Oreochromis niloticus: one gene and its partner. The protein of the gene in region 1 interacts with the protein of each later gene in a biochemical or structural test. Links are inferred from orthologs where the notes say so. Each region holds a gene or a part of one and is shown on either strand. Other genes may lie near its edges.

Region 1 (7,689 bases):
TACAAGCTGAAACCTCTGTCCCTTCTGTTCATGGTTTAGTCATAGGTTTTGTTTTGTTTTTTAAAAATGCCTCATACTTTCTTTTAAATGAGCAGATAACTGACAAAAATAACATCTCAAAACTGAACCCAGAAACATGGTTAGCCACAAGCCTTGATAATTAACTGAAAGATTCTTTCACACAACATTTTTAGTGAATATAAGCTTATCGGCCTTAAAGGAGAGATATTTATAAAAAATATTTTTAAGCCTGTAATCAGCACCAACAAGTGATAGCGGCTACTTAAATTATTTTTAAAAATGTACCAGGAGTGTGCTCTTTCACATATTATGTAACAGATTCAGTTATTTATCATTACATGCTGCAATAGTGTAGCTTGCATTATTATAAGCTTGTGTGCCTGTATGTGCGTGAGTACTTTGGTAGGTGTTTGTCTGTCTGTGGGTAGCCTGTTGTTGTGATTTGGCACTGTATAAATAAAATTGAACTAAAGTGAAAGACAGTGCCAACAACAGTACTAATCACAGATACAAAACTTTACAGATGAGATCTAAATGAAGCCGAGTTTGAGATTGTGTGTGGTGCGGCTCCCCGAGTACTGAGTATTTGCGTTAAAGTGTAGTAATGCCTTCTGATCACCAGACGAGGTTTTTCCTGGCTCAAAATTGGCCTTTTGGGGATGATGCCACATACAAGGCAAGAGTATTGGGTATCTTACATATCTTAGTTATTTTTAAACAACTGATAAATGAAAAAGCGAGTCAGGTTAAAGACTAAATTTAACCCTGCATAAAAATGGACTAATAGTTTTATCGCTGTGCGGGTGGTTTTTCTGTGGTGTGGTGAACACTAAAATTATGCTGGAAAAACCTTGCAAGACGGTCACTATTGATTTTCTAGTCTGTTGAGTGCATCTGACCTGAGTTTGCTCTCACTGTATTTATGGCCCATTTTATGCCTGTTTCTTTTGTTTTCACATACCTGTAAATAATAACTGTGGTCAAATTAGACCTAAATCAGTTATTGTTAAAAACAAAAATATTAGGGCTAAGAAAAAAAAAAGAAAAAAAGTGGGACCGCACTAAGATTGGATCAAAGTGGCTGCATCACCCGTCAACACGCTGGCATTAAGTATGCATGGTAGTTATTACTGCATTATTACCAAGCATGATAGAGTAGCTATTATTGGTTTCTACTTGTGATTCTGTGTGCGTCATCATGGTAAAATGCACCATAGAGATACCTCAAACTGAATTTCAAATATGCTGACAGTTGTTTGTATATCTGTCTGTGGGCAAATTTTGCCAGTGCAGTAATGTGACAAAAGCTGTGCGAGGTGCTGACATAAAACTTTACATATGTGTATTCTTCAGCGAAATAACGGTTAAGTCAGAAGATGGGTGTGGTCCAACTCATGAGTCCTGAATACTAGTACTAATGAGTCTAAATGTCAGTATACTGGCATGTGTCACAACTGGTGTGATCCCACTGCAAGATGGTCTCTAGTTATAGGACTACTGAGTACTCATGGGCTGGATCACACAAGTCTACCAGCTTGGCGTCAACTACAAACCTGCCACATTTCATGGCTTTATCTGTTATTTTGGCAAAACCTGTTCCCAGTCATACAAATTTTGGCACGTTCCAAAAAGGTTTTGGCCTTCAATATGAAGAAAAAGTCACCAGGACTGTAATATTTAAAATAAATAAATAAACCCAAACCTCAATGCATGCACAAAAGCACCTGCCAAATTACTCAAAACTAATTCTGTGGTAGTTCCTGCAACAGTAGGTGTCCTGGGACTGCATTTTTAAACGATGATACACATGCATATCTTTGTGGACAATCTTCATAGAGTTAAAATACTCCCTAACCCCTTACCCTCACATTAAACATCACAATTAAAGTGCTAACCCAAACCTACCTCTACCTCAAAAAATAAAAAACTTTTGAACCCCAAACTGCCTTTTATGGGACCCTAAATCGTGGTTCTTTAAAAGCTGTCTGGCAACACAAATATCATTAGTTACAATGTTTATATCCTACAAATATAGATAAAACAAACAAGCAACACACACACACACACACACACGGAGATAGAGAGAGAGAGAAAACTCACAATACTAGCCTCGTAGCTGGTAGTAATTCAGCGTGATCATGTCAACCGACCCAAGTATACACGGATAGCGCAAGTGTCATCAATAAAACTCGTGAAATAGTAAGAGAGACAATACCTGAAATACCTACAGTTAACTTTGAAGGGGTTGGTCTGTTTTCGCCTGGACATATTACTGCCCAAACCGGTAAAAAAAAAACAACTGAAAAAAAAAAAGAGAATATCCTAACCCCGGACGGTCCAAGTATGTTCCGGACAGAGGGAGCAGATGATGAAGAAAATAATAATATTAAAAAATCAAATCGTTTAGATCAGAAACTGGGTCGTTTTCGGAGATTAAAAAAATAAAAAAAAAATCGGGCACATTTAAGAGTCACATTCTTGCGGTCTTTTTTTGTGTGTCTTTTTTAAAAGCCCCTTCTTCAGCCGATTATCGGGTTAAGATGATGTCCAAGCCCGGACAGAGAGACTCCGAGCAGCTCCGAGCTGCTCCGATCCCGATCCGCTGGCACCCGCGCACAACTGCAGCGCAGCACGAGCTCAGCTGATATCTAAACGTAAAAGGAATGAAGCTAACGTCGAACAGCATTGTGGGATGTGTAGGGACGCAGGGGAGTTCAAGTGAAAGATACTATGCTGCATTCAGGTCGTGTGGGAGAAAAAAAAACCCGACCATGTTCAAATATCAATTTAAAGTAAGTAAGTAAATTGCTGTTGGCGGTTTTGACGAAGCAATGATTCCTATTTAACTTTATAAGCTCTGTAAGTACGTAACTATAACCTGACAATGACACCTCAACTAATAACTAATAAATATTCATCCAAGGACCACTCAGCACACCACACCCCCAATAAACACTATCATAAGAACTCACCCGCGCGTCTGAAATCTACCGAAAATAAATAAATAAAACATAAAAACAAACCCATAATCTGTGAGGACCTTAAGGGATTACTGTGTCAAATAATATTCTTAGGTTAAATTATTGTTCTAATCATATTCTTGTATTATGAATATTTTTATTAAATAGAAATGGGAAATTAATGTTCAAGCAATTATTTTGCACTTACACATTTGATAAGTCAGTTACACTTTTGAGTTAATGTTGCCATTAGACAAAGAGTACAAACACAACATACAACAGGAAGCTGCATCCTGTCACAGTGACAAAGTAAACTTTTTTCCTGCTGTATGGCCAAATGAAGAAACTGACAACATACAATATAAGTCTTTTATTTTACACAATGAAATTATGTGAGAGCGGTTGGTCAGATGGATGAAAAAGTATTGTGGCACAGTCAGACCGTCTGGTTTAAATAAAGATTAATGACAGATCTGAGTACATTTCTCAAAAAGTACTGAGGCTAAAAAAAATTGGAAAAGCCAACCTAAATAACTAACACTCATTCATTTTATTCCACTTTCCAATTCTGAGTCGCAGGTAGCCACAGTCCAGGGAGTGTGCTAGGGACCCATAGGAGAATTTTTGCAATAAATACATTCAATTTGACATTTTTAGATAAACAGGGATATATTTTTAAGCTTACCACCGAAGTGTATAGATAACCCTATAGGATAAAAGGTACTTTTATAGGCTAAATAAAATGATCATCCAGTCCTTCACTTTCCTTGACTCCTTATCTAATTTGAGATGGGAAGGGGGGCAGTTGTAGCCTATCTCAGTCATAGAGTCAGGGTATACCATGGACAAGCTGCCAATCTATCGCAGGGCTAACCCATAGAGACAACTATTCACACTCATATTCCCGCTTGCAGCTAATTTAAGATCACCAGTGAATCTAACTCCATGCATGTCTTTGACCTGTGGGAGGAAGTGAAGAGTTTTCAGAGAGAGAACCCCCCATACAGATGTGAAAAGAACATATAAAGTACATCCAGAAAGGCCCAGACTGAATTTGAACCAAGAACCTTCTTGCTGTGAGGTGACAGTGCTAATTCAAATAAATAAATAAAAAATACATGAACATTTACTTTTTAGAATAAACAAATATATTCATAATAAAACTCCAAGGACATGCATCCACTGATTGGACACTGACAAAGCTGAGGGTATTTTTCTGTTGCAAAAGCCTTACAATTTCTGAGCCTCTCGCCCAGTTTGTGATACTTTTGTGCTCCCTCTAGCCATAATAGGAAGAAAAAGTAGTGCTACAATTGATCATGACACTTGTAATTTCATTATAAACGCTCTCTCTAACTGCATATCCTACAGTCAACACTAGATGTCGCTACAAACCGTTGGACTGTCAATGTCATAACATTGCATGTAGTCGTCATCACTGACTGCCACGAGTAAACTGACCGCAGCACCACATTGACCGGGTGAAAATGTACTCTTCCGCACGCTCAAGCGAAAATATGCCATCTCAACAAAATAATCTCGTCAGGTCATGAAATCCCCTTTGTAAGGCAAGTGGCAGATGACACACATTCACACGCAAACAGCACGTCACGTTATGCACAATTATTTAGATATCCAGTCAGTGAGTACAACAGGATAACATCAGCTAGCTGGCTAATGATAACAAGCCTAACGTTAGCCCATTATAGTTACTGTGAGAACGATGGAAGCGAACAAGCCACACAGCAATTAGTAAATGATAAGAAAGGGTTGAGTACAGTCACCTACCTACATCTCCCATCATAATGAAGACATAATTCAACTATTACCCATGTTGTCCAGTGAACATATGAGGCAGGAGTCTCGAGTAAGGGGCACAGACTGTGATTTAGTCCTCCTGTACAGCTAACGTTACTGTACGCTGATGATAAACTTGAGCTCTTCTTTCGCGAACCCCTTGCGATCTGTCAGTGTAACCCTCCGCCTGCGGTAGATGTGCTGAGGCTGGAGTAGCCACCATTTTGCATGTCTAGTGTGTTCCTCCCTCCATTGCTAATAGAGACGATTCCAGTCATTTTCTGGCATCATTACGGCTAGTAAGTACATCCTAGCAACAATATGTCGGCATAAATTTGGGGAAATGGCTTTACGTGTGAGTAGTTGTCCGCGGTTTGACTGTATTTACGTTGACAACTGTCACTGTGGCGCTGCATAGGAAGTCGCAGCCCTTAGTGCACCGGGGCTGTGCTAAGTTAGCTAGCATGTTTAGCATAGTTATAGCCTTGCTGGACTGGGGATGTGTAGCCCAGCAGTATGCTGTGTCCACTAAATCAAAGTCATCAAGGCAACGCGCAGTGACAATTTGGTATTTCCTGTCTTTCTAACTAGCGGGCACAAGTTGCATTTAATTCAGAGAGTATTCGGTTAAGGTAATGAAGAAGCAAGCTAATGGTCAGGTAGCTACGCTAGCTTGATAATCCAAATGCTTCAAGAAGGCCTAAACTGCATTATGTCCTGATCAATCGGCGATCAGAGTCAGATGTAATGGCCTGCCTCTGATTGTATACAGCCGATGATGTAAACTTTAATGTAATACAGCGCCAGCTAAGATGAAGCTACTCCTGTAGTGTCATCATGATATCTTGCCCTTTTAAGATGCTACTGAATTAGCTAGTTGTTAGCTGGCTCTTCAGAGGTGTGATTTGCGTTTTCTAAGTCATATTAAGCATGTGACGCTTGACGGCGTGGTTATTAATACAGTTAGACTTTCCTAATATTTAACAAACTGTAAGCGTTTAATCCATAAGTTAGCGTTTAATTGAAATACCAGGGAAGCTAACGATAGCTAGCTTGGTGTTTTGAGGACGTGGACTTGGGTTTTTGTCCAGTTTCGTGAGATGGTTAATTAGTGTTGACAAGCTGTTAAATGAGAAGGAAAGACTTAGACACGCGCTTTTTTATAACTGCGTTGTCAGCGTCCGAGTTTAATTCATCTTCCAGGATCAGTTTGCATGTAAGTGTTAAGGAAGTCAGGTGCAAGTAGGAAGTGAGCAAATGAGGTGACGTACAGTATGGGTGATTTCTCTACAGTTTTTGACAGGAGCTGTAAATTACGCCTCCACAAGCTTAGGTCGAAGTAAGCTCTTCAGGTCCACTGTTTGTGGCAGCGACACACAAAACCAATCTTGGTAAACTACAAGCCAGGTGTAATGCAACGCCTTTCACGTGCAGTTTACTTTATCTGTACGCTTGATGTGGGCTTTCGAGAGATTCGGGACCAACTGTACTGCTACGGTTGAAGGCCTAATGAAAATGAACCTGTTAAATGTATAATTTTACTTTCCTCACCGTCAAGTCACACGCAGTACTGTAGATTTCAGCCATATTCAATTCCTACTGGCTTCACTTTGTAAAACTAAATATGGAGTATGTTGTCCTGCATTACCTTTTCTATTTACATGTATTGTCTGTTACATGGGATAGATGGGTGAGAGTTAACGATAAAAAAAAGTCATATTTAGTTGTAGCAAAGGAATAGCCAGGATGCATTATTATAGAATGGTGCATAATATTGTGCTTGAAACATGCAGTTATGACCTTAATTAAAAACACTTAACCGTTACCTCTAATGGCAGTGATGCCATGCATAAAATGTACTTGAGTAGGTGCATTATAAGCAGGGTTAGCGTGCATTAATCACACAGCACTGAAGCAACTAAACATGATCACTGTGTCTGCATATCAGTGCCCCACACAATGTGAAATCAGATAGCTCCAGGCTTTGCCTCAGGGCTATTTAAGATCTTTTGATGTATTTCCAGTTTAGGATTCATTTTGACTCCACATTAATGTCATTTGGCCAACCTAAGTCCTGAGTGAGTTAGCACTGCCTCGGTGTCTTGTTTGGACAGAAACTGATCAGTCTTTATGGTTTTACTCTAAGTAAACAGCCACACAAACTTAGTGATAAATAAGGTACTGTAAATGCCATTTGTTATTTTTGTCTCTTTTCCTCCTCCTTTTAGCATTGGGGTCGTTGTACATTTTGCCTCTGATTAGTTTTGAACAGGAAAAGCTTACCAAAGACCCATTCTAAGCAGGGCTAGTTTCCAGCAGGCTTTGTCAATTTGCAGGCTGACAAAGCTAAATTAAGAAGTGCTTAGCTTAACTGACTCCAACTGATGGTGAAGGCACACACGGATCTTTGTATATCTCCTGTGTAACTTCAGAGTCTCTGAATTTAAAGTTGATCTCATTATTGGCTCTTTGATGGCTGTTTTGACCATCAGTCAAAGAAATAAGCAATTTCTCTATTTTCAGTGTTGTTTTCAGCAGGTTAAGAACTTCTAAGTGGTAGAAGAAAGGCGTGGTAGCTGCAAACAGTGAAATGACTATTTGCAGTTGCACATAGATGTAGAAATCACCAGGCTTTTTGATCTCTGCATGTTTGCTAAGAGAGGAAAACAAAATCTGGAAAACCATAAAGGTCTGGAGTGTGTACATGTAAAACACCTGACAGAATATTTTGACTATTACGAGCGCTTCTTCCCCTGTGCACAAGTACAGTACTCAACATTTGAATGTGTACATAGGAACCAGGGTGTAAATGTAATCCATGTCAAAGCTGATACTCATGTTTGAACTTTAGTGTTGTGTAGTATTATCAGTTATTTGTAGCTCTGTAAAGCCGAGGACCAGCCGAGTTGGT
Region 2 (7,521 bases), on another chromosome or scaffold:
ATTGTCACTGCATACTGCTTTTAATTTGAGTTACAGTAACAGCTGTGTGATATTTTATCAGCCTCTCATATTCTGGGAATGTTAAATCTTCATCTAGTAAACAAAGCTGGTAAAAAAAACCCCCTGAGTATCTCAGAAAGTGTCCTTAAGTGCAGTGTTACATGTACTCAGTGGCACGGACTATGGCATGAAGGTGAGTAAGTGGTTTCAGTTAATAAAATGAAGCTTCTAAGCTGTTCAGGCGGAAGGATCGGATTTACATTTAATAATAATGATGATTTGTTGTCTTGAACCTCATCCAGCTACAGCCACCTGCTGCAGGAACTCAAGAGAACAAAGAAATACCATATAATGAATATATACAAGTACTGAACTAAATATCGGGGCCACGCTTGTTGTTACAGCCCAGGAGTGCAAGCCTGTTTTCTCCCAGTTTCCCTCTATTTGCATCTGAAAATCTGTGAGAATCCCTGGTTCAGAGGAATCCTGACAGATTGATGTTGTCATGCTGATGCTGTCACTGTCTTGATGCTGGACGGGTTAATGATTTATGGGGAATTGCGGGATGCCCCGAATGAGTCCCGGGTTAATGTTCACCTTTCTCGCCAGATCTCTGGGTGTGGGGGACTGCTCACATCCAGTCCCGATCCAACTGTCGAGGGGACTGACTGAGTGGCCGGCCTCCAGCTAAACCCGGCACACACAGCAGGGAGGAAGACCACGCTCGGGGACTGAGAAGAAGAAGAGGAGGAGAGAGGAGGCTAATGAGGCCTGATCGATCTCAGTAATGGGTCACACAGAAGCAATGAGAGCAGAACAAAAAAAATCCAAGCAGTTATAAAAAGCTCAAAGAAAAAACAACAACAACATGCTTTTCTTATTGTGTAAGCTTCACGCATGACAAAGAACATCGTGGCCCATGCAACATGCAGTGACATGCACAAGTAGGAGGTATCTTATGTCTACAATATAGAAGTTCATGTTTTATTCACCAAGTTATTCATTTCTATTTTCTCTAACTGTAATCAAACAATGAACATGTTAAACAATCAGGAGTAAAATGATGATTTGAGTCCATTACAGGACCGGCTAAAAGCATCACCAATAGATGTTTAATATTCCTTTAAATTTGACTTTCTGCACGTGTGACAGGATTTCATTAAAGTCATTTTGAATTTGAAGTCAGTTTTAGACTCATTTTTCTCACAAAGGCTTTGCATCTTTTAATAATAATGTATGTGACCTATAATTATAATTACAGGCAGCATCAGTGGTTCCACTCATGGTCTGGGGTTGGTCATAGTTTCCATGCATGTTTTCTGCTAAAAATGCTAAGAACCATTTACAAATATTGTTTCATTTCCTTTTTTGCTGTTTCCTTCAAATAATTAACGTGTCTTTTATTGTATTTTGTACAGTAAAAATATTTCCCAAAGTAGGGCAGTGGCTGGAGTTTTACATGCACTGAGGCTGAATATCTTGAATGAAATAAGTGCTTGTTTTAATGTATCTATTTGATAAACTTAGTACTTTTTTGATTTTTACATTTCAGTCAGACAAAAAAGAAAAAAAGGGTTCTTTTTACTTTCTTTTTAAAGCTCCTAATGTCTATAAATGAATTCTTTTACAATCATGTCAATTTTGTTTGCACAACACAACTTAAACTCTTCCTATTATCTATAAAAGGACCTCACCGGGACATGACCTTGATGTCTTCAGCAGTAGTTGGTCCTGTGTAAAGACACAGCGTCTCTGTATCCCATCCTGCTTCCCTTCTTTACTTTTGTTGGCTTGAAAGTACAAAAAACTAAACAAAAACCAAAAGAAAACAAATAGATCCTGAACATAGTGGAATCAGCCTCTTTGATATCGTCCAGGTACGTGTATGACCTCAGTTTCCTCAGTGAAGGAAGTATCCCGAAGACTTTAACAAGACTTTAACTAATCAACTCAATAAAATACACTGAAAGCTTTTCTTTTTTTCTTGTTAGTCAATCTGAATCCAAAAATGTGGTCATGTCCTCCTCTGTCATGTACATGCCCTGTGAACGGAGCTAAGGTATAAGGCTGGGAGCAGACCAGGTGATGGATAGCAGCAGGGCTTGTTGTCCTCTGCTTTACATGACTCTCATTAAGCTGTAAATCTTTCACAACAACACCCACTGAGACAATGCCACACAGGCTTCTCCTTGCTGCTCCACCTTGCCCTCGGCGTAACAATGAAACTGAATCACTTTGTCAGGACACACAATTGCCTCAGTGTTTCAGACAGCCAGTAAAAATGTTGGACAACACATCAGTGTGTGAAAGCGGGTCTTTGGGTGAATCATAACAGGCAGTCATAATTATTCAACATCTCAATGGTATCTCAGATAATCACCTGATGACACATATGAAAATACACTGTAGCAAGCTGATGTAGAAAAAATTGGGAATTGTGTACAGTTATGTACCATTATTTGTGAAAACAGATGCATACTATAAATGCCTTAACAGCAAGCTGTACATGTTTACAGTGTAATTTGAGACATAGTCGAGAAATATACTAAATTTAATTCAGAGTACATGCAGTTAGATTTTAATGTCAAAAAACAAAACTAAAGAAAAAAGGTAAAACAACGGGAACAAAGTAGGAACACTAAAGTGGGTATGATGCTATGATACTGTAAAGCTAATACGTAACACTGTTAAATTTTATTTTTGTAGATTAGATTTGCTGCAAAATGACAAGTTACAGTACTTTTCTGTCATTTAACAAATGACTTACAGTAACTTTGTTAGTCCTTTATTTATTCAGGTAAAAATCTCATTGAGATTTAAAATCTCATTTCCAAGAGAGACCTGGCATCACTGGCAACTGAGGGCTATGTGAGGTATAGACCGTAAGATAATCCTAAAGAAAATAATTTAAGCTCACATTTATATTTAAAACATTATACAATGCTTGCTGATAAGCTCAAAAACATTTGGGGGCCTCCATAAAAACAGACTGCTGTCACCTCCCCTCACCTATGGGCAGCTTTGCTACAACAAACATTTTGGTAGCTCGTGTTGGCCTGAGCTCGCTCTTACTCAGAAAATCAGACACAGCCTTCGTGGGTGATAAGAATAGGTAAGGTAGACCTGTCCTACTAAACTGTACCACAGATAAAGAATCACGTGCAGCTAACTGGCACAGGATCATATTTGCACACGTGACTACTTTCTCGTTAAAATCTGAGATCTGGAATATGAACTTTATTTTTGTAATTTTCGAGCTTTAGAGATTGCAGGTATTAAAGTTGAAGTGTTTTCCTCCAACATTCAGTTTAATGATCACAACTTTCCACCAGCTCACAGGTTTGTTTCTGTATGACATGTTTTGTTTTTGTGCCTTTGCATGTTCAGGTTCTCGCCTTAACAAAACCTCGACAAAGCTACACACTGACACCTGCTGGCAGAAAGTTTGAATTGCAGCGACCAATACTAAACGTGGGAAGTTGTTGCCCTGCATCAATCCTCGCAGGTCGGCCTTCCGCTCCGCTCGTTTTCACCATCACAAAGTCGTCTTCTTTTTTAGCATACACAAATAAAGTCAGCCAATATAACTTTCTTCCATCAAAGTAACCCAGTGGGGGCAATTAAAGCAAGAAAAAACAGTAAGTAAGAGGTTTTAAAAATATGTTTTTTCAAGCTTCCAGCAATTCAATAAACAGTACTTCAGCTCATAATAAGTCAGAGATGGAAATGTACTATCCAAAACAATATAATTTCGCCATATTAGACAATACGAATCACCGCAATAGCACACCTGTCGGGAATGAACATTACAGTGGTTAAAAAAACATCATGTTGTTTAAAAAAAAATATCAATTTTCCTTGAGATTGCTAACAAAGTTAATCAGAAACTAGTAGCTTAACTGTTAGCTTCAGTCGTTTGGAGAAAGAGAGCATCCATGTTACTGAAGATATTGAAAAAAAAGGTGAATTATTATTGATTATGTATTATCTCAAGATTTTGTCTTTCTTAGAAGTAGCTCCAAGATATTACTACCGAAATAATAAGTTGAAATTTCACTGGTGGAAACAAATTGTGAAATATAAAGACTTATTAAGGTTAAAGGTAAAATATATATGTGGAACTGAGGTAAAGGGGGGGGGGGTGTAATTCAGGAAAAAATAAACAAATAAGCCAACAAAACAAAAACAACCAACTCAATTAATGTTTATTTATTTTCTATCATGTATTAGCCCTGCTATGACCCGGACGGTGTGTCTGACAGACTAAACTCAGGGCACCGTACGTCCCACACCACCGTCCTAAGTGGTGACGTCATCTTCCTCTTAGTGACTGCTGTTATCAAGATGGCGCTGCGGCCGGGATCTGGGGGAGGTGGCAGGTATTTTAGCCATTTTAAACTGACTCATTTTAGGGGAAGTAATTTGTGCGTGAAACATTCACCCCCGACAGTCGCGGGGCTTCACATTTAGCCACGAGGACGCCCTCAAATATCGCGATAAAGGCTGGCTTAGTTTGTCGGGGCAGGGAGATGAGATGAGATGGCTGGTGGTCAGGTGCCACAGCTAACGTTAGCTGGCCCCTTCTGGCTTTACCTGTCCATGTCCAGAGTGGTTCCGACTAACTTCACGGTGTGGTCATATGAACAGATTTCACCCTTAAGTTATTCTGTGGCAGTCATAGTGCCCAGTGCTCTCGGTGTCTGGTGATATAACGCGATACTTGCTAGATGAATCTCTTGTAGCATTGCTAGGCAGGCCTGTGGGTGGCTGGTAGGGACAGATATTTACACTTTCTCAGTATTATGTTTTCTGTTATTGGGGATTTAGTATGGTGTTGGCTATTTAGGAAGATAAAACATTAGGACGTGAAGATTTGTGGGGAAGGGGTTGATTTAGTTTTTGTCCCTGTAACAAACAAAGCAGCAGAGACTCTAAGCCCTTCTTCAGGAGTCAGATTGCTCTAATAACTCTCTGCTGAATTACATAATCAGCCCTGTCACACATGCATATTCCAGTAAGTAGCTGTAAATGGTGAGGAGATGTTCAGGTGTCTTATTAAAGCAGTGTGATGATGGTCTGCAGAGGAGATGAAAAGGCCAGCCTCATGATTTTTTCATAATACGAGCTCCAGCACCCTGAATAATAAATATACTCTGGCTACAAGGCTAGCCAGGTGATACTGATCTGACAGGTGAAACCAAAGCCCTCAAGACTGTCTGTGCCAGTCTTTCACTGCGGCTGGTAAAGCCTCTACTGTATACTCTGGTAGATTTGGGCTATATTTGCATTTTAGTATATTTTCTCTCAAAAAATGTGTCATTTATGAGATGGGCCATGCTTAACTTTGACTTTGGAACTCTGTTTTTAAAGTATCTACTTCCATGGTGCAGTGTGACTTTTTTACAATCAGTGGTACCATTTGGTAAAAAACAATCTTGGAAACTTTGAGTAGCTGCAAGAAATGACAATGTGGGTATGATAAAAGTAAAATGTACCTGTATGCTAAAGTGCAAAGCCAGGAGGTGAAGCCTGTTTGAGAATTCCAGCAACCTTTTGTAGTTTGTAGGCTCCATGCAGATCCTCTGTTTTCAACAGGACATGTGAATAGATACTTCATGAATGTCAGATGATATCCTGTGCAGAAACCATACCTTTTACGCCAGCTATTCTCTCAGCTGCTCCCTTTAGGGGTTGCCACAGCAGATCACCTACTTCGATCTCACTCTCACTCTACTCTTTTCTTCTGTCACACCAACCCTCTGCATGTCCTTCTTCACTACATTCATGAACATCCTCTGAGGTATTTTTCATTTCCACCTGCCTGGCAGCTCCATATTCAACATCCTTTGTCTATTTTATCCACTATCCGTCCTCTGCACATGTTCAAGCCTCTCTAAATTTGTTTCCAAACTGGACAACTCAAGATGTTCCTGTATATGAGAGAGAAAATGATTAGCGCTTGCTTTTCAGAGTGCTTTGGGTTACTTTTAGCGATGCATAGTTGTAAAATTCTGGGCCGAATGACATTTTTCCTGCTCTGTTTATTCCCTCTGTTATGTCAAGAAAACAAAGAAATCTTCATTATACTTGGAAATCTAAAAAAAATTTTTAAAAGGGCTTTCAACTCTGAAATAAAAATAATGATATTAAAATCAATACAACTGATAAATCAGTAAATAAGATAACATTTTCTGAGTTCAGTGGCTGATCTGTTGGCTAATATATCAGCCAAATGTCAATCAGTTGGCTGATATATTAGTCCTACTTACATACTTTTACCTCAGTTTTTCACTAAAAGAACTTTTTTTCTTTTTTTGATTAATAAACAGACCAAAAAGCAAATGCATTTCATTTAATGACTGAGAAAACGATCAAATCCTTTCATCTGAGAACCAGCAAATGTCTTGCATTTTGTTTGAAAAATCTGTTTCCATTGATTTTATAATCAATTAGGGGACTTATGAAGTGTCACAATTTAGTGGTGACTTGATACCAAGACTGATACCAGTACAGATATTTGATGATTAAAAATTCCAACGCTTTTTTTGGTTAGAGAAACATTGGTTATGTGTATTTTATTTTATTTTTTTTACCTATTTATCCAATGCTCTGCCATATTCTTCTCAGATCAGCTGGTTGTGTTCAACATCATCACTCATAACACTGGTTAAAGAGTGTTTTTTCCCATCTCTTTATTTATTTTCTTCCATTTTTACCTATCGGTAAATACTGGAAGATCTTCAGACAGCTAATAACGGCCTTTTCCTACATTAATAGCATCTATGGAAGCAACAGCATTAGGAGCGAATGAGAAAAAAGTGCATTTGGAAGGCAGAAAATTGAGAATTTCTAACATGGTTTTCTTGGTAAATAACAAAGCCCTAAATAATCAGTGGTTTGTAAGTAAATGCTTTAGATCTTTATGTAGCAGAAGTGGCAGGTCCATTAAAAGTAAGCCTTTCCTTTTTAAAGGAGTGATTTTAAGTCTGCTCTCTATTCCTCTATGAGAGCAAATAGTTTTAACAATAACGACTCTGGCTGAAACTGTGAAACTGTGCCTTCTGTCCCCAAGCATTCAAAGCAGTTTGATGGTAGCTATTAGACGAATCCAGACCTTTTACAAGGCTCAGGCCTGCCTGGTGTCCACAGCTGCTGTCGCCGCTTATCTCCCTCTATGTTAATCCACTCGGCCATGACCTCTGATTTGCTGAAGGATGGCAGACAGTAGTGCCGTGGTGCTCAAAAAGCTTTTTAAGCTGCAAATCTTCCAGTGAGCAGATGCGAGAATCTGAAACCCTCCGGTACTTGTCATATTGCAACAGTATCCTGTGAGGGGAAAAAACAGCTTCTTGCTTTTAGTTTAAATGTTTTTAGATGAGCAGAAAAAAGAGGACCACTCATCAGCACCAAGAGTGCCCATAAATTCACATTAGTGTGAATTAAATGTGACAGACTCAGGAGGACTTGAAGAAAGAGCTGTTGTGACTATGTCCCAAAACATAAATGTACAGTACTATGTTG

Evidence for each region.
Region 2: the proteins of ap1g1 (region 1) and synrg form a complex in vitro, tested with the Homo sapiens proteins (2 studies listed by BioGRID). The link is inferred for Oreochromis niloticus from reciprocal best matches to the Homo sapiens genes AP1G1 and SYNRG.

Annotation. Positions count from the first base shown.
Region 1 is NC_031965.2:21,847,382-21,855,070, reverse strand, and holds the start of ap1g1 (AP-1 complex subunit gamma-1), read left to right. Parts: upstream 1-4,442; 5' UTR 4,443-4,549; intron 4,550-4,769; coding exon of another isoform or gene 4,770-4,785; exon of another isoform or gene 4,786-4,810; coding exon of another isoform or gene 4,811-4,814; exon of another isoform or gene 4,815-5,077; intron 5,078-7,689. Other genes in the region: znf821 (zinc finger protein 821), read right to left, coding at 2,250-2,289. UniProt on the Homo sapiens protein: Subunit of clathrin-associated adaptor protein complex 1 that plays a role in protein sorting in the late-Golgi/trans-Golgi network (TGN) and/or endosomes.
Region 2 is NC_031979.2:27,772,879-27,780,399, forward strand, and holds the start of synrg (synergin gamma), read left to right. Parts: upstream 1-4,257; 5' UTR 4,258-4,344; coding exon 4,345-4,379; intron 4,380-4,515; exon of another isoform or gene 4,516-4,639; coding exon of another isoform or gene 4,640-4,656; intron 4,657-7,521. UniProt on the Homo sapiens protein: Plays a role in endocytosis and/or membrane trafficking at the trans-Golgi network (TGN). May act by linking the adapter protein complex AP-1 to other proteins. Component of clathrin-coated vesicles.